2 linked regions of the Oreochromis niloticus genome follow. The protein of the gene in region 1 interacts with the protein of each later gene in a biochemical or structural test. Links are inferred from orthologs where the notes say so. Each region holds a gene or a part of one and is shown in the gene's direction. Other genes may lie near its edges.

Evidence for each region.
Region 2: of the proteins of bone morphogenetic protein 1 (region 1) and chrd, one has a biochemical effect on the other in vitro, tested with the Homo sapiens proteins (3 studies listed by BioGRID and IntAct). The link is inferred for Oreochromis niloticus from reciprocal best matches to the Homo sapiens genes BMP1 and CHRD.

Annotation. Positions count from the first base shown.
Region 1 is NC_031972.2:22,681,927-22,691,718, forward strand, and holds the start of bone morphogenetic protein 1, read left to right. Parts: upstream 1-5,819; 5' UTR 5,820-6,182; coding exon 6,183-6,315; intron 6,316-9,792. Other genes in the region: antxr1b (anthrax toxin receptor 1), read right to left, coding at 262-341, 565-598, 717-798, 904-975, 1,083-1,154, 3,813-4,012. UniProt on the Homo sapiens protein: Metalloprotease that plays key roles in regulating the formation of the extracellular matrix (ECM) via processing of various precursor proteins into mature functional enzymes or structural proteins.
Region 2 is NC_031979.2:6,277,287-6,287,851, forward strand, and holds the start of chrd (chordin), read left to right. Parts: upstream 1-5,892; 5' UTR 5,893-6,392; coding exon 6,393-6,537; intron 6,538-6,929; exon of another isoform or gene 6,930-7,003; intron 7,004-7,027; exon of another isoform or gene 7,028-7,168; intron 7,169-7,230; exon of another isoform or gene 7,231-7,249; intron 7,250-8,725; coding exon 8,726-8,829; intron 8,830-8,953; coding exon 8,954-9,080; intron 9,081-10,565. UniProt on the Homo sapiens protein: Dorsalizing factor. Key developmental protein that dorsalizes early vertebrate embryonic tissues by binding to ventralizing TGF-beta family bone morphogenetic proteins (BMPs) and sequestering them in latent complexes.

The DNA of each region.
Region 1 (9,792 bases):
CAGTCTATGATTTCGACCTATAGAGGGACACACACTTTCTGGAGTGCGTACAGTAGCTCAGCGTGCATTCACACTTTAGGTTCTCTAATGTTCTAATAGTGTTTTGAGCAATTTAGTGAGAAGAAAATACACAGTACGCTGTATTTACATAATCTTGTGCTTTGTACTAAAACAGGCTTTAAATTTCTATTTAAGTTAATAATTGTTCATAAACTTCTTAATTAAGTGTTATTAAGTTTCTTTTCACAGTGATTCTTCTACCTCTCTTTGAGCCAGGTCAAACTGATTTTCTCTCAGTTCACCGTCCGTCAGGGCAATGATGACACTGGCTGTCCGGTAACCTACAGCACAGAAGGAAGAGCTGTTAAAATGCTAAAAAGAAACAAAAATCTGTAAGAGCACAATCTATGAATCGGAAAAATATTTTGAACATATTTGTGATGTGAAGAGCAGCTGTGTTTATATTGTAAATTGAATTAGGAGTAAAATTAATTTTAATGTTTGGGTCAAAGACTTTACTATGATTAAGTGTTTAAAAAAGAAAGAAAGAAAAAATCTACTTACCATCTCCAGTCCCGTAGTATATTTGCTCGCTGGCCTGAGAGGGAAGTTTTGAGGCGTCAGTGGCTATAAACTTTAAAAAGGCCTCATTTAAAGGCTCAGATGCCATGCTGTTGGGTAGGGTCCGTTTTTCATTGACTTTACAGATGACTTACCCTTTGAAATCCTCTGTGCATGAAGGTGTCTCCGCCTGGCTGCACCATACGTAACTCCTCCAGTCCCGCCCGAATCTGATCTCTGATTATTGACATGTGAAAAAGGACAAAAACTACTGATCAGAAGGGAGAGATACAACAAATTAAAAATAATTAATAAATTTAGGTCTGTTCGTATATGTGCCACCTGTCTTCTGTTAGAGCCATGAGAATCCTTCCTTCTGTTGAAAATACAATAAAAGACATCCGTAGCTGAGGACTGGGGAAAAAAAGCACCGGAGATGATTGTTACATGTTATAAATCTTTATATATATTTTTTTCCCCCCCTTTACTCTTTTAGTGCCACGGCTTGTGCGTAGCTGTACCTGATAAACTTGTGAGCCAGATGATCAACAAAGTAATAGATCTCATTCCAGTAATGCTGCACACTGCCAGACCTGAAACAAAGATTCAGCATTTTCAGTGACACACAGGAGCTTTGGCTCAAAAGTCAATTCACAGTTGACTGAAAAAGACACGCAACTTAGAAACACTCTAATAGTGAACAACTTAATGCTGTTTTCCTGTTGTTTAGCTTCTTCACTTCCAGAATTAGTAAGAATATAAAGGGAGCCATCAAAACAGACAACTAATGTTTTACAAGAAAATCATGACATTAAAAGCTGAAAGACGGAAACACAGAATTTCTGTAAAATTGTGGAAACTGCCTTTAAAGTCTAGATCTCCTTATAACCCTGTAATGTTATGTAATTAAAGACAGTATTGTTTTTGCACTGCATACAATATAATAGCTTTAGCTGGCTGAAAGAAGGACTGGAGCCTATCCTCACAGTGAGCAGCAGTGATGGAGAACATGGTGGACATGTCTGACTTATTAAAGGTGTTTTAGTTAAAGATTATTCTTATTGTGATTATCAGCTATCACCTGAATCTTTTTGTGTAAAAATATTTTAGAAAGAAGAGGAAATTACTGGTGTTGAGTGCTTTAAAAGAAGGCGACTGGACTTCTTTTTGGCTCGTGAAGATGTTTTTAACTTTTCATCCACAAGGCTTCTTCAGTTCTAAAACAGCTGGCCAAGAGTCCAGGTATTTAACCTGTAGCGGGGACTGTCCGCTGTCCGCTTGTCCCCTGTCCACTCAACTGAGCTTTAGCTGTTGTGGACACCAAATTATGGAATCAGTGTGAACAACTGATATTTTTAAACAGCTTCTAAAAGCATAAATATTCTCCAAGACATTTTAAGTTTAGTACCAGAGTTTTAATCATTTTTTAACCTCCTGCTTTTTCTGTTTTATTTCTTATAAATTATATTGTCTATTTATTTCAATTTTGTATGTTTTGCTGTTATTTATTTTCCTTTTATTTGATATTTGTTTCTGTGTTTTATTGCTCCTTTTTTTTAACTAGAAAGTACTCAGCTCAGCTATGCTGCTATGCTAAATAAGGTTGGATGGGACTGGTATACTATTCTTGGTATACTATTCATAAAAAATCTCACTTTTTTTATGTGACTTTACTGCCCACTTTTACTCCAAAGCCAAAGTTAAAGTGCCACTTGGCTTCCTCTTGGGTCCAGGTTTTGTGACAGGTGCAGACCAACATAAACAGATGATTTCTCTAAGTGGAAGGCAGTAATTAAAGAGACTCGTGGAGCAAATATGCACAACTTCTTGTGCCCCCTTTCTCTCTCTGCACTCTCCCTTCTCCTCCTCCCTTATGTTTTCATTTATCCTGTGATGTGAGTCGCAGTGCAGAGAAAGCCAAACATTCGGGATCTTTGGAACATCTGGCTCTAATGGAGAAAGGGTTCTGCAGATCGAAGCGCAGAGAGATGAAGTTGGGACTGGATGTGGGCAGCGCCTGTCAGCGAAGAGCGGCCGCTGTTGGAAAACAGGAATCCCTGCAGGGCAGTTTATCATCCGCTGATGCATGAATGCATGAAGATGTCACCGTGTAAACACACTTCATGTCAGTTCTTACAACTTTGAGGTGATTTGCAAAAAGAAAACGATGTGCATGTTTTTGATTTATGTATGCGTGGCTCTTTTAAGAGAGAATTTATGAAACAGCACACTGATGTGACTTGACCTGTTCAACAGAGTCATGTTAGCCTCATGACATTTAATTGAACCCTTATGTGAGCTCTTGGCATTTGAGTCTCTTATAATCTGCGACTGTTTCCTTCAATAAAATGGGACGATACCGCAATTACAGCTGAGAACAATAAGTATTCTAATATAAGTACTATAATATCACAATCATTTAAGCCATTTAAGACAAAAACAACCTTTTGTATATGAATAGAAATATTTCGGGGTTTCACATTGTACAAAATAACACATTTAAAGACTTTATTTTAGACTCTGAAACTCCAGTTGGTGTTTTTCACCATGTTGGCCTTTATATACAACATTTCTAATCTTATTAACCACTGAATGCACTTCACCCTGCAATCCACACTCATCCATTCACACATATTCATATAGTGCTTTTTCTTCAATGCATACGTCAAACATACTGACACAGATTGGTGCAACAGGGGCCGCTTTACCTCCTAAGCTGTTTGCACAGTAACTCAGCTACTGATTACCTAGAAAATCAGTTGATAATTCATTCAGTTTTAATTTGATGGTGTAGATCACAGCTGCAATGAGTTTGTATCTCACAAATGCAAATGCAATATCATGAGTTGATGGAGTTTTGAACTGTTGCGGCAGGTACAGCTTTAGGAAATTAGCAAATCTGATGACCGAGTCTGTTCTTTTTAAATCAGGCTTCTACTGGTGTGATCAGAAAGCCTCAAGCAGGTGACATTTCAAAATTAAAAATGTATTATATACATGTCACTTAGAGTCACATTCGATTCTGTTTCTATCTGGAAACCAGACCCTACCTTCAACTTTATAAAGGCCTTAATATTTCAATAGGCTGAAACATGCTAGTTACATCACAGTAGCATATTTTTGTCAGGCAAGTAGCAGCCCATCATTGCCTCTGGATGACAGCTTGACTGATGTGTGCACCTGTGCCTTCAAAAAGCACCAATGAGTCACACAGATCTCTTCTTTGATCAAGTAAAAATAAAAGCACTCACTTGTCCAAAACAAAGTAGAGGTCAAATCCTCCATAGCACGATGACCCGGCTTGCCTCCGCTCAAATAGCTGAGCTGTGCTGCCAGCCGCCAGGACTGCCACCAGTATACCCAGTTCCACACAAAGCAGGACCCGCCTGCACCAGCACTGGGACATCACTCCAAATTTAAGAGAGCAATCAGCCTGGGAGATGGTAAACATAAATATTGTCTCAGGATGAAGGATTTTTCTTTTCCTTTGGGCTCCTCTCCTTACAGTGCTCTGGAGGTTTCAGCCATACAGACTGAGGCATGAAGAGAGCTCTCCTCCTGATCAGGGTCCCATCTCCTCAGGAGCAGATGTGTGGTGGCAGAGGAGGAGTGAGGCTTGTGGGACCGAGTCTTCGACTCCCACTCACATCACACTTGTAGCAAACTTTGCCAAGAGTTTGCACAGCAAAACAAAACACTCATGCATAGGAGGCTGATTTACTCCTCCTCTCTTCTCAGAGTGTTTCTCTGAATGACTCCACAGCTATGTCCAGGTATTTGTTTTCACTCATACTTTTCTTTGTTTTGTTTTTTTCTTCTTCTTTTTTTCCTTTACTTCTTTTGGTAGTTCACTTGATTCTACAACTTACCCATCAGTGCCACTCAGTGGTAAACATATGCACTGTGCAAAGCTGTCACTGCAAATAAACATTAAACACTTTTTTTCCACACTGCTTTTAATATTTTAGTGGAACTAAATGTCAGATGATTCACAAGAGAAATACTATACAGGGTTAATATAAAGTGTCCAAATGAAGGATTTTCTCTTTGAGGCTGAACCATTTCTTGGTTATGCTGCTATAGGCTCAGACTGCTGCAGGGAGCCCTGCAATACACTGTGATGCACTGAGCACTCCTTTACTCACCTCTTTTCATTACTCATTTCATTGCTCGAGGCTTCTTCCTGTTAAAAGGGAGTTTTTCCTTCCCACTGTCACAAACTGCTTGCTCACTAAGTGCCTCTTGTATAGTGTTGCTTTGATTTGGTTTATATAAATAAACCTCAGTGGAACTGAACTGAATTAAACTCTTTTAGGTGATTAACAATCGGTAAACCAAATGGTTAAAGAATAACACAGGATGATTCACATGCTGTCTGATACTGTATGTTCCACTTCAGAAGCCAAATCAATTTAATGTCCCACACTCAACAAATTAGCAGTCATTAACAATAAAGAATAATTTTATATTTCTGTTATGTAGGAATTTCAAAAACATGATTGTTGGATTTTATTATACTTAGTAAGATCTGGAATATATCATTTCGCACGCTTTGTTACGTGTATTTCATCTCTTTCCACCAGGTGCCCTTGGTCTGATTTCTAGTCTTTGCCTCATCCCTCAGTCCCCTGGAGCAGCTGGATGCCTTTTCCAGCTTCTCCTAAGTGTCTTACAGGATTAATGTGCCAGATCATCATCATCATTATTATTATTATTATTCTTATTATTCTTCTTCTTATTATTATTATTATTATTTCATGTTAAATCACTCACGATAGAAGTCCCCTTCTATCAGTATCACTACAGTCAACTTTTCAGAAAGTTTCGAAACCTCATCACACAGTACTTTCATAATTTCTTTTGATGGGAAATCTTACTGTATGTTATGTAAATAAATATAAATAAATAAACAGTTCTTTTGTTTGTTTTTGGAAATTACATAAGAAGGATAGTAAGACTTTTGGCGAAAAAAAAAATAAAATAAAGATATTTTGTTTGTTTTTTAAAATTTCCCTTAGCTTCAGTTATGAGTCAGCTCCTCTCTTAACTGCTGAGTCAGTATTCCCGCATTTCAGAGCTAACGTGTGAGTGGACCCTGTAGCCTGCAGGTGGTGTAGCGGGTCAGGAATCAGCACCTTGTGATAAAGTCTCTGAGGCATAAACAGTATCGGGATTCTGTTACACAAACACGACCAAGTCTATCTTATTTAACCGATGTAGGTTGTCGAGAAACAGTTGTAGTGCACAAATACAGGATAGGCTACATGTCAGGTGCTCGGTGATGCTTTGTGGTCCGGCTATAGGTGTTTTTTCCCCCTTTAATTTTAAATGTTTCTAACATGTTTATTAACACAGAAAGAAATGACACGGATTTTACCCGCGCTTACGTCCGATGTAAAGCCCCCTAAGTCACCTGACAGCAGGTGAAGCACCTCTCTGGCTTCAGAGGCATGGGTGTGTGCATTGCTGTGCGCTCGGTGCTGGATGTCAGCGAAATCACTGCAGCAGCATGGAGACGTGAGGAAACAGCGCCGCTGGGCAGAAGAGTCTTTTCAGCGCCCTTTTCTCTTACTGCAGCACAATTACCAACTTTATCTCCTCTGCATATTTGATCAAAGGCAATGGAAGTCGCTCCTAGATTTTTGTTCCTGCTGTGCGGTCTTTGCGTTTCTCTGGCGGCTGATTGGGAGACTGTGGAAACAACTTTTACTGACCTCGGGGACGAAATCGACTACAAGGATCCATGTAAAGCCGGTACTGTCCATATTACTGTACATCATACCTCCTTCTCTTGTTGTGTGTTATTGGTGTATTTTTTGGCCAACAGCCTTTAGTCTTGAAGGCTCCAATCCCTGTGAGAAGGGCTAGATGTTTATTAAAGGATAAACCTTTAAAAGAAGGGAAAATGATGCTCTCAGCTTAATAGGTGTGAAAACTGGATGTGAATAAGCTTTAAACCAGGGGAAATATTTTCAATCCAAAAATAATATTCATATATATATATGTATATATATATATATATATGTATATATATATATATACAGTATATATATATATATATTTTACATTTTATTGTTGTTTGAAAATATTTAGAATAGCAGCTAATCGATTGTGAAGATGTTACACAATATGTTCAAATACAAAAAGTGTAAATGTTGTACATCCTCTGGAACAAAAAGTGATTTTTTTTAACCTAAAGCTATTAAATCAAGTTTAATAAGAAGTTAAAAAAAACCTGTTAAACGACATGAAAATGGTGTAAATGCAGTTTTAAAAGACAAACAAAGCGATTGTGCCATTGCAAAATGCAGTGGTTTTTACAAAAAGGACTACTTTTAAAGTAAAATGTAGACTTTCTGTACTGAATAATTTCAACCAATTATTTTTTTGTTTGCATTTATTAATATGTGTTTTATCTTTCAAAGTAAAGCAAGCATGTTTTTATCTTTACTCAGTTGTAAGAAAGAGATGCAGAGGTGACAGTGACGTTATAGACACAGCACAGTATGTACCCCAGATTAATTTATTTAGTGAAATAATTGTTCTTTTAATCATGTTATACTTTTTTTTAAAAAAAACCCTATTATTACTGTATTTTCAGTATTTTCAATTTTAGTGTTCAACAGTGTAAATGTTGTTACACTTCAAAGGTCTGTCATGTAAAATAACAGTAATTCTGGTAGAGAATGTTAAAATAATACATGCTCCAAAATAAAGTAATGCCATATTTCCTTAATATAACGACAGAGTATTGTGAGCAAGATGCAAGAAACTGCATCTGTTGAAATTAATGTGTTAAAGTACAATAGTTGTTTCTTAAATGCAATGAAGAGTAACTTTAAATACCTGCAGTCAAGACAATACCATAAACTTTCAATTAACATAAGTGCAGTGGTACATGGCACATGTCTGTGTTTTTAATATAAACGGGTTGTACTGTCATAACTAAAAGTTTAGGCAATGGCACAGATTTAGCATTTCACACACTTTGGTTCAATTTTTTTGTTACATTTTTACTTCCTTTGATGATGAAGAACAATCATAAGCATTTTATGCATTTCAAAGACTTTTATTGTTAAACAAAAAACATTTTTGCAAAGAGTCAGTATGTACAATGCTGACCTTTCTTCATAACTTCTGCAATTCTGCACGACGTGTTGGATATCAGCCTCCGAGCCAAATCCTAATTGATGGAGATCCAAACTCCAGGATGTTCCCAGTATGTGAGCTTCTGCTTGTCCATCCACTTTTTTAAGGTCTTGCTTAGGCATAAACTCTTGGTCTGGAGAGTTTCGACTCGCTTTTGGCTTATGACATGGCGCTCCATCATGCATGAATGTGATTATGATCATCGTTATGATCGACTTGGTGCACTGACAAGCCAGGAATGGATGATCATCAATCAGGATTTACCACAGAAACTGACATCCAGTCTGCCACAGAGGACTGCAGAAGTCATGAAGAAGAACATGTTCCTCATGTTTAACATTTTTTGAGAGGGGAAAAAATCCCATTAAAACAAAACATGTTTAATGTCATATTATGCTATATTGGTAAAGGACATCCAGGCAATATGTATATGTATATATACATATATATATATATTTATATATATGTATAAAAGAAAAGATTTCCATCATCTAACAAACAGTTCACTGTGGTTATCCTGGGGCCTCCAGCAGGTTGGGGTTCCTTTTTCACTTGTGACTTCTGAAGCTTTCAAAACAGACCACTCTTCCACTCTAGGGGAGTTGCCTGGAGACTTGAGGTCACTGAGGCCGTGCCAGCACAACCCTCAGCTGGACTGTGGTGAAATCCCTCGAGCTCCAGAGCATGGGGTGCACACTGCAGGGGTGACAGTCATTTACAGTCACCCTTTGCTTGAGTGAGTTTACTTCAAAGGCTGACACAGGGCCCACTACCTCTTTTCATTTGTACTTTCAAAGGTTGTTACATCACACTGTTAAATGAGGTATTTAGAGTGAAAGACTCAAGTGAGCAGCTCTGCTTGGCCAATATGATGGATATTATTTCTCAGAGAGCGTGTCATGTCATCTTTGAGTTTTGTAAGTTATCTACAACCCTTAATTGTGTTCCTCACTCTCACCTTTGTTGGCCAATGGAGGATGTTTCATAGCTAATCTTGTAGCTCAGCATAGAAGTTTAGGGTTTCTTCGTTCACTTCCCCACGGTCTGTTAGAGCCCAGTTTTCTGTCAGACTCTTCTTTAACAGTTCTCTGCAGCTGACATTGAGCTATGCCATATTTTGAAGCTGTTTCACCACTTTTGTCTTCTACTGTGTTTGCTGCACTGCTGACTTTGTAAGAAATCCTGTAGTGACGCAACTTGTTTTTTTTTTGAAGGTATTGCAGAAAAGTTGATGAGACCTTTAAAAATCTACCTCTGGGGCATTTACCTCTGTGAATTCGTGGAGTTCACTCGTTTTGTGTGTCAAAGTGCAAATTCAGTCCATTTTGTCTGCTGTTAGCATTTTATATACAGACCTGTATGAAAGAGCCAATGCTCATTTCTTTATATTGTGGTATGGAAAATATGTGTAGTGATTTATTGTAGCAAGAATACATGGAGAGCCAGTGTATGAGGTAAAAAAAATGAGTTCAATTTTAATAAGTTTGAATTTTTTGTAATTTCTTTGTGATTTCTTTATGTAGTCTTCAGGAATAGTTCTAGAGGCTTCTTGGAGGACATTCAAAGCTCTTCTTTGGCTGCTCTTTGTTCTGTTCTGTCAAATATGATCCCACACTGCATCAGTAATGTTGAGGTCCAGGCTTTGGGGAGACCAATCCATGAGTCTGGTCTCATGGATTGGTCTCCTTAATAAAAATTAATCAAACACTTTACAGGAGGTACTGCATGGTGGATCAAAATCTAGTGGTATTTTTCTATGTTCATAATTCCACAAATTTTGACAGGATCTCCATCACCACTGACTAAAATGCAGCTCCAAACCATGACAGAGCCGCCACTGTGTTTTACAGACAGCTGTAGACACACCCTTCCCTCACCTCCTGACCTCCTCCATATATCTTGATGATGATTTGAATCAACAATTTGGATTTATCACTCCATCAGTCTAGTTCTTGTGTAATTTGGTATACCTCAGTTTTTCCTTTCTGTTTCTCTTTTCTAATAATGGCTTATTGACAGCCGTCCTTCCACTGAGACCATTTCTGATGAGGCTTCAGTGAACAGCAGATGAATCAACTGAAG
Region 2 (10,565 bases), on another chromosome or scaffold:
TTCATGCTTTTTTAGGTCTCTGGCTCCACTTGGTTTCACTAATGGCCTCACCACACTAATAACATACTATATTTTGCACAGTATACAATTAAAGTGGTACTGTTTTTGCCATTTTATTTGTCAAATCTGTATTATTTGGGGGTGTTTTAAAAATGTTTTTATTCCTTTCGTTGCACCTCCCTTTTTTTCATTTTTTCTTTCTTTTTTTTGTTGTTGCTCCAAACACTTCTGGATTTGTAAGTTTGGGAAAGATTCATTTTGTGATTCTCTGGCAAAGAAAATAATGAAAGCATAAACTTTCCTTCATTTTCTCCTCAATCTTCAGGGCTCCAAGCCCCGCTGGAAGAACCACTGGTGCCGAGGACTATTTATTCTTGGCTCGGCTGATATTCACATTCATTCTTGACCACTTGACTTGTGATTAAGCAATAAAGCCTTATGAGCAACTCCCTCCTGTACCATCCTCTCCTCCCTGCCTGTCTTCAGCGATTGTTTGCCTTTTCTTTCCTATTCCATTGTCTTCCAATGTTCAGTCAGACCACCCAAACAGTAAATCTCATTGAAAAAGAAACATCCTTGCAATTAAAACAAGCATCAACCAGCAGAAGTTCTTCAGGGGCACTTTTGAAGAGGAGGAGGAGTAGCAGTGGAACTTGGGCCAACTTTCCATTGAGCATCATTCATTTCATGCAAGCACGAAATCAGTTAAGCAGCAGGTCAGACTCTGTAATAACTGATGAGTCAGGAGAAGCTTGTTAGACTGTCGCCTCTCAGACCACTCATCAGGATGACTGCGTGTTGATGTTTAACGGTGGAGGTATTTACCGCGCGAGTAAAAAATGCATGTGCCGTGACCGCTTTTGGCACAGCTCGCTCTCTCCTTCTCTCTCCCCTCTGCACATCTATCGACTTTTACAAATAAAGTGTGTGGAAGCAATTTGACTCTTGTAAACAGAAATGAGACCGAGTGATGCAGATTTCAAAGGGCCGACAGGAGAGAGCGGGGAGGGTGGGAAGGGAGTCTGCCAGGAAGGATGGATAACGTGTCGTGCCATGTGTGCACATTTGGCAATGTGTGTCGCATTCTGGCTCTCTGAACATGAACTGCACAGCAAGATGCTGGACTTTCTTTTTCCGCCTTTTGCTCAAGTACTGCAAGTGCTTGCAGTACTTGAGATAATTATAATTGAGCATTTGAGTTGCATGCTTTCAGCTGATTTTTTTATTCACCTATTAAATCAAACACGTCTACTCTATTCTATGATCTCATTATGTTTTATCCTTCTTTATATTTTCTTTTGGTTCTTTGTGTTTGTTCTCTTTTTGTCTTTTGCATCCTGTGAAGTAGCTACTTTGAATGGTCTTCTTGTTCAAAGAGGCCCCCCAAAAGTGCACCTAGCTGCCATTATCTTTATTCTTTACCTGATCCTTCAGAGTCTGTGGATCTATCTATACACCTTTACTCTGCAGAGTGATATCTTGAAAAACATGACAGACTAATGCATATAACACAGGAAAAGAACCTAAGTAGAAACATACTAACTATTGAAATAGCCAGACTTTAAAGTACAGCACTACATATAATTATTAAATATTTCTTTAATAATACTATGCCATCTACCCCCAACCAGCAGATGGACTCCACTCCCCCATTCTGTTGGCATTTTCTTCCTGTTTGTCCTTCCCTCTGTTGTCAAGTGCTTGCTCATGGGTGGGTCATCTGATTGTTGGGGTTTTCTCTTTATCATTTTAGGGTTTTGCCTTACAGAATAAAGGAAACACTGTGTTTTGCTTATTGCATAAATAGAGTATAATTTGTTTTCCATGTCTTCTAAAATATTTCTCATTGATTTCACTCTGGAATTAACAAAGCATTCTGATTCGGAATTAGCTCCGAGTAACCACTGCTTATAAAAACATGTTTCCTTTAAGTCTTAGCTCCTTGCTCTATTGTACCTACATTTTAGCACAATTACTCACTGATAAGTATTTTGATCACTGAAAATCACATACTAATTTAAGGTCAGTGTGGGGAAGTTCGCTGGGTGTAAATAGGAAGAGCTTTTTATAATTTCAGCGTAACTTTGTAGACTCTCCACTACTAATCATCTGTTACTCCACACACGCACAAACTACATTGTCCTGGTGATAAACTAAACGCTGGGAACGTCCCCTGTAACTGCACAGGTCTTCTCCCGGAGGTGTCAAAACAAACCGAGCAGCCTCCCCACACACACACACTCACCTCCACTGCATTTGGACATAGCCTATGCTCGCTAATTGCCTGCAGTAATTATGGTCACGCCTCCTCCCCGATCCACAATAGGAGACGGTGAGAAGACAGGGGCAGCGCTCCTTTCTCCACAGTTTCGACTGTGCCTGCAAATTGATTCAGTTTGTATGAATAAACATCAACTCTGCAAGACGTCTTCTTCCATTTGCACATTCACATACTGACTGAGCAAAGGCCCATTTCACTCCCCACTCGCCCGCCCCCTCTCTCCCCTTTTCCGCTACCGGCATCAGTACACAATTAGCTTTACAGCCTCTTATTATTATCAGCATCAGCATAACAGTGGTAGGGGAGAAAGCATGGTGTGCGTCTTAATTTACCCTATTCAGAGAACATTTTTAAAAACACGATAGATAGATTTAAAAAAAAAAAAAAAGACTTTTCTTTTTTTGATGACAGTTTCCAGCATCTCGAAGTAAGCTACCTCTTTTTCAGATGTCTGCCCTTGATAGAAACCTAAATCGACGCTGGATTCCAAAAGGGAAACGCGCAATTACAACCGGGGCCGTGTATCTAAACATGAGTCAGAAATAATTGGGGTCTTTGAGATGCATGGCGGCAAAAAAGGGAAGGTCACGCAGAGTGTATGACTCTAAAGAGAATAATTCTGAAACCGACGCTTCTCAATGTGAGCGCGTGGAGGCACATCGAGTCTGGGAACAGGTGGTGACTGAAAGGGAGGTGCATGAGCGGGACATCCAGGGCTGACTGATATTCACACCTCCCGTCACTCCGAGCAGCAAACAGGATGCCCCCCCGCCCCCCCTTGAGTGTGCTCTGTGGAATCAGACTGGATGTGGAGGTGGGGGTAGGATGAAGCTGTGGTCGTCTGGCGTGAAAAAAGAGCAAATACACAGCGATTTGCTCTCCATTAGAGAAGAAAGTATCCATGAGTGTATTCGTGGGTGAACCTTTATTATGCGTGATTGACAGCCGATACCCACCGTTGACCACCCCCCTCCCTCGCAAACCCAGGCGCGCGCCGCAGGCTCGCTGAGAACTTTTAATAATGTCCTTGTAATGGTGTCACGTAAAAAACATCCACGGCCGTTCTGTGCCAGCAGTGTTTCAGGTTATTGCGCACTCTTCTGAGAAAGCTCCCCGGACAGCGGAGCGGGAATCTTAATAAAATAGAGAGAGCACCGTGTCTGCTTTTAATTATATCCTGATCACAACCGCACAGAGCTGCCAGCATCCACATCCACGGTTAATCGATTTTTACTGGGCTGTAATCTTTCGTGGCAAATTAGAGATGACTTAAGACTTTTGAGCCTCTCCTTTCCAGTCCGCTCATCTCCTGCCTTAAAGCGGAGATTAATGAGGGACAGTGATCAATCCAAGACCATTGTTTTTATCCAGGAAACAATCTGTAATCAATACCGAATAATGACCATTATACGACCCTATAAATCCTGCGGTGGAGGGAAATCCAAGGATCTGAGGCCAAGATACACTCGTTAAAAAAAGATTTACAATGCGATTGAATCTTTGCGAGTTATCAGCAACAGGTCATAAATACGTCATTATAAACATGCTCAGGTTTATTTTTTCTTAATGTGTCTCTTGATAAAACATACATGAATTATGACTTTATTTAAATCATTTGCTTTATTTCTGAACCTAAAAGTCAGATTTTAGTAAGGGAATATGACGATTTTCCCCTGATAAAAATAAAATAAAGCAAAACAAAATAAAATACTGCAGGTGAGGACTGATTTAATTCGCCGAAGGATTAAACTATTCGATCAGTGTTCCCCCTGCCAGCCTTACAAACCATCAAAATAAAAGTTGCGCTCAGAGCAGAGCGGACACCTTGAAACTTAAATGTGTATTTGTGATCTTTTAGTTGATGGTCGAAAAGAATTACTTTGAGACCTCAGAGAAATGTCGTGTTATATTTTTAAGTACTATGAAACAGAGGTGCCAGACTGATTTTCAAGCGCAGGACACCTCCAATACACAAAAACCCGCTGTCAGTATGCTATGGGGGGGGGGGGGGGCTGTATATGTATACTGCGTTTTTTATATAGACGATTTGCCATCCCGTCTGCTTAATTAATCACTTTGCAGCGCAGAAGAAAAGAGTCGCTTATCACCCTATCATGAAGAGCAAATAGCCCATCATTGAGTCCCATTGCTGAGGTGAAAGAGGGTTGGGCAGTTGCGATGGGGGGAGCCGCGTAAATCCTCACACTCGGGTGGAAGTGGCTCCTAAAGGCCATGTAATGTGACACATGTATAAAAAAAATAACACCTTACCTGCGCCTTTGGCACGGAACGAATGAAACTGGCGCTTTTTTTAATGCAACGGTTTAATAGAGCTATCAATATTAATGCATTTTCTAGCCTATGTGTGGACAAAGTAATCCACGGATGAGTTTGAAATGTTGCATAGAGGCGAAAACACATCTACCAGCGAAGCCATACCGATTTAGCACATTTTGCGCAACGATTTAAGATGGAGCTAGTAATATTAATGGCCCTTGCAGTCGATTTGTCGCCAAAGCGGTCTAGGAGGAGGTACATAATATACAGCGGAGTGCACAGTGCTGCTGTGCGTCAGTGGGGTGTGTGGATTTGATAGGAAAGAAGAGCAAAATGAGACACAAACTACCAGGTGAACTGTAAATACAGAAAGCTTGGTAACATTCTTCACAAAGCCTGACCTTTCCTGAACCCTGTGGTATAAATCAACCATGAGCAGCACTATTGTAATGTAAACCTGACCAGTTTGTTCTGGGCTCCCCTCTGTAGGGACCACAGTGAGGAACTGGACTGTTAACCGCTGCTTTTGTTTGATGGGGACATTTCCCAGGGCTAAATAGTCCCTAATAAATTTCACTTGTTGTTGATGTGGTGAATTTGTAAAAGAATTTAGGTTATATAGCCCCCAACACAACCACAAATGAATTAATTTTATTTTAAAATACATGTGATTTTAAGTGGAACCGTTCAAGCAGCTATGGCTTCGAGACAAGCCAAAGGGAAACTGTGCGGGAGGGGGGCACAGAGGTCTGCAGAAGGGCCAGGAGAAATTTGCCATGAGGTATTCCAACTATTTTCATTTGTTTCTGTTAAGTCACTTAGGTCTCAGCGCCAAACGCACTTGAAAAAAATAAGGGAACAGAAAGCAGCGGACACTCACACATTCCTTACTGTACATGAGCTGGAGATTCCCACTTTCTCCCCAGAGCTTGTGGCTCATGTCCGTGGGCGTCAGATGGCTGAAAGCGTGGCGCTCATTGCGGTGAGCAGATTAGGCTTTTATCTTACGGCACAGCGCTTTAATCTGTGCAAAGGCCAAATGATTAAAGTTGGGGAAACAGACAGATAAAGGGGTAATCACCGCTAAATAACACCAACACTGATACAATTACACGAGAACTAAATCAAGAGAGCAGCATGCCACTATCGAAACTCCCACGGGATTGGCACACACACAAAAAAATATAGCTGACACCTTTAATACCGAAGCAGCAGCGTATTAAACTTTATTAAAAGCACCCACGGTCCTTTATAACTTCAACATCAAACATGCAACATGAAAAAAATAGGAGGGGGTGTTGCAGAGAAGCTATTTTATTTTAACAACAACCAGAAAAAAAAAAATATTTACCAAGCTAATGCAATGCCAGGAAAGATATTTATGCCGTCACCTCGTCTCAGATATGTGTGTTGAAACACACTGCTGTACCTGCCCAGTCTTTTCGACAGCGTATTGAGTTGATAGGGGTGTCGATTGCCCTGTCCATCATCCACCCCCTCACCCATCACCCGGCCCACCCTTCATCTTCCCCCTTCCTCCTCCTCCCGGCTGTTTGGAGCTGTCAGGGAAGCAGCCTATAAAATCAAACGAGACGGGGCTGCGAGGAGACCGCTGGTACCGAGGAAAGACGGTGCAAGTACTGCCCTGCTCACGGAAAACTTTTTGTCTTGCCGAAACTCGGATGATTCTCAACAGCGGACGTTCACAGCTAACGACAAAGGACGTTTTGTTATAAGGAGGAAACTTTTTATTCTCTCTCATTACTGTAATTGCTGGTTTAAAGAAGCCGGTTTCTCGGGAGTTTTTGAAGGGAGTCCTTTGCGGAGGTTTGGGATGCTGCTTCCCTGCGCGCTCCACTCCTTGCTTTGCGCGCTGAGCTGCGCGTGGTGGCTGCACGGAGGAGCGGCCTCGCGGCTCAAGTCTCCCTCTTTGCCCATCCAGCCCGAGACAGAACCGCTGCCCTTCAAAGGCACATCAGGTATGTTGTTTTGGAAACGTAAGACAATTTTGGAAACGTAAGAGAAGCCACCTAAGAAAAGCGGTGTTACAGCCTTGAGCTGGCAGCTGGTGTATATTGGTTTGTTTTTTGTTTTTTTTTATACCAGCAATAGCTATAAAAATGGCCGCACGCTTTGAAAGCCGCTGAAGAAGTTGGCTACCTAAGCTGCATTTGTTAGCATCAGTTTCAGGCTTCCAAATCAGACAACCCCTGCTGTGTAAACAGTTTGTGACCCAGGGGGCAGCACTGAGCAGCAGCTAACTAACAATTTAAAAGTTTGTTTGCTTTAAAACTTTTGTTTAAATTATTTCTTTTTTTATAAGAAGGCTGTATTTTTTCAAGTGTGCATAATTTGGTATAAAAGTACTTACTGTTAAAATGTCTCTTTTTCCCGTGAGTTGTTTCATGGGTGTGGGGTTATGACCCCAGTTCACCCCCCCAGCTGTGCACGTGACAGCAGCGCCGATAGCGGAGCTAGCTAACATTTAAAAACCGTTAAATCTCGACATTTAAAAGTTAGTTTTTTTCCGCTGCAGTAGTACACAGTCGTTTTTTTCTAGTTTCCTCTCCCGGTTCCAGGTTGCTTCATGTGTAAACCAGCGGCAAACATGTGAGTCATAACCGCAGTCGATGCCTTTTGATTCATTTGTGAAAGCCCCTTCGTACAAAAGCTCGCCGCGGTTTTTATAAGGTAACTACTCTGGAGCTCAGAGCAGCGGGAACTCCACGTTAACCACCCCGTTATAACGTGTAATTTCATGTTGGAAACTCTAATCAATCGACTTTCCATTACAAGCGCTGGCTCCTCAGAGCCTCCTCCTCCTCTACTTGAGCGCAGCGCGGAGTGGGGAGGCTCTCCGTTTGGCTCTCCCTTTAACTCGACTGGACTGTTTAAAGTGTGCAGTCACTTTAATGAAAGAATAATGCGAACCAGCTTGGTAGCCGTGAGCGGGGGAGAGCCATCAGCTCGAGTGAAGCTGGCCAGGGTAACATCAAGTTTGTGTGTGCACACACCACATACAGTCACCCTAACCAAAAATAATTATAATACTCCTGCAGTAACTCGGCGTGACAAACACTTAATTATGAGTGCAGCCTAGTAATAACAACACTGAAAGCTATTTTTATCCCCTGTAACATCAATATACAGCCCCGTCCCTACATATTAGGACATGGATGTGTATTTTATAGCCGTGGCTCGGCTCCAGCACACTGGGTTTAAAGTGAAAGGCTCACATGTTTTGCAAGAGTGTTAGAGTTCCTTCACATCCACTTTGGGCAAAATATGGGAAGAGTTGCAGCCCATTGTTCACTTTCATTTCAAAGTAGACTGAAACATAGCTGACCCATCATGTACTGTAAAAATCCTTTTCACTAGAAGTTCAGTATACTGTATAATCTTTATAATATGCCCACTGAATTAATTAAGGCGTGGCCTGTGATCTGTGTGTGTTTCTGGGAATCTCTGATAAGTTTGAGTGGAACTTCTCTCTGGATCATTTAGATCAGACAGGATGCAAAGCTCGAGTTCCAAAATTTGAGGCATCCAGGGAGTTTTGGTAGCTTCCAGCAAGTCTGGGCAGTGAGCTCATGTGTGGGATTTATTTGTTTTTAAGTATGCAAATGGCAATCGTGGTCTGGTATCTGTGGTTTGTCATAAAAATGAGTTTTACTTTTTCTTGCTATTAAAGTGGAATATTATCCTTATTTTTTAAGTTGTGTGGTTTTTTATTTTTAAATGTTTTAATTTTTTATTATTAGAACTTACTAGAATAGCTTTGCATGATATTCCGTTCAAAATAATCCTTATTTGCCTTATACTCAGCCTTGAGCTTTTGTTCACAGGGGTTTCTTGTATATATCCTCTGATCTTTAAAACTTTGGCCATGTTTAATATGAGGTTCCACCACTTATGACAGAACATAGTAGGAAAACTCTAAATATCAGAAAGGCCAGCTTATCTTTTAATATGTTTTTTAAAAGTTTTGTTGTTGTTGTTGTTGTGTTCCCTAATTAATTTTGGCATATCTCAAAAAGAAAAACATTTTTTTAAGCATATCATTTTGCTTTTCTAATCAAGTTGTTCTTTATTTTGGAAAGAGCCAAAGAAATTAGGTTGTAATCGCCTAATGTTTGCTGTGTGTAATCAACAATGTTGGTGTTGCAGGATGCTCATTTGGAGGTCGCTTTTATTCCCTGGAGGACAAGTGGCACCCAGACCTGGGGGAGCCCTTTGGCATCATGCACTGTGTCCAGTGCCACTGTGAACCTGTAAGTTTTGGCTTAGTGTGATCTCACTCCACATGTTGCGTTTGACTTTTTTCCCCTGCAGTAAGCTGTAACTCCAGGTGAGCTGACTAATGTGTGTGTGTTTGTTTTTATTTTTCTCTGGCAGCAAAAGAGTCGCCGTGGTAAGGTGTCTGGAAAGGTAAACTGCAAAAACATAAAACAAGACTGTCCGGCCCTGGACTGTGACAATCCTGTCCAGCTGGCGGGGCACTGCTGCAAAACCTGTCTTCAAGGTAATCATCCTCTCAGCTCAAATGCTGCTCTCAGCTTTTGTAGATTTCAAGCCATTCTAGTAGTCCTAAACACACGAAAAACAGGCAGCTGAATAAACAAGCATGAACATTCGTAATTCAGTAAACAAACTGTATGTGGAGAGAGCAGTTGTTTCCCCCCTTTGTCACAAGAGCAATTTTTTCGACTTTCTTTTTGTTTATTCTGTTCAACTTCTATTTCTTTCTTTCTTTTTCTTCTTCCTCTCTATAACCTTTCCTTGGTTGTTGTTTTTTTTCTTCCCTCCTTGGGTAAGCTTGTTCGCCATCAGAACAGCTGCTGAATACAATGAGCGAGTCAATTGATTTTCCATTCAGCCGCATCAAATGGACATTTTCTCTAACCAGTCTCAGCTGAAAGCACCACCCACCTATTTAGCCTCATTCTCACATAGTCACTTACCTTGTCTGCACACTGCTGCGCACACAGTCTCACCCTATTAGGAGTCAGAGCTGCTTTACACATGGTCACACACGCACGCACGCACACACACACATACACACACACACACACACACACACACACACACACAGGGTGGGCCTTCATGCTGCAGTGTTATTCTCCATGGGTGTTTTTCTCCATGGCATGTGTGGTAATGGAATGGAAAGTAAAGGTAAAACACTGTGGAGACACTGTGAGTTTATATATGTGTGTGCATGTCTGTTGTGGTCAAGCTTTAAGGAAAAGGTTGAGTGTGTTTGTCTTAGCTTTGGCACCCTTGCACCTGGTATATTTGTGTAAGTGTTGGAAAATGGTGTGTGTATAAGTGTGTGTGTGAGCACCTGAGGATGTAGTATTACCAACTGGGGAGAAGTGAGAGTGACGCTGCCCAGAAGGGCTTCAGCGTGCCCAGTAGAGCAGAGGAATTATGAGATTGGAGATGAGTTTTAGGTGGTGTGTGTGTGTCTGTGTGTGTGTGTGAATCACACAGCAGACAGTCCAGTTGAGTTCCTCAGGGAAAAAAAGCCTTAGTGAAATAGCGTTTGAGTGAGTAAGAGGCAGTGTGTGGTTTGCTTTCTCAAGAACGTGTCAGAGAGGCTGTATTTGGCTGAATGAGCAGCGCTTCATGTGTCACTTTTTGCCTGTGTGTGTGTGTGTGTGTGTGTGTGTGTGTGTGTGTGTGTGTGTGTGTGCGTGTGTGCGTGCGTGCGCGCGCGTGCGTGCGTGCGTGCGTGTGTGTGTGCAAAGCAGCGAAGGCCACACATAGCATCAGGAGAGTTTGTGTGAAACAGCAGGTCATTGTTAGGATCGCATGCCAGTGTCGCTCCTAATTCTCCTTAAACTCCTCTGCTGCAAGAGACAACCTCGTGCTGGGAGAGAAGAAATAAGTGGCGTCTGACGTCTTCTGCCTCATTTGTTTCCTCCCGTCTCTGCTCTTTCTTCTGGAATTTCTACCTGCCATGATCAGCCTAGATTTGTCACTGTCCGATCCCTTTTATCCACATGCT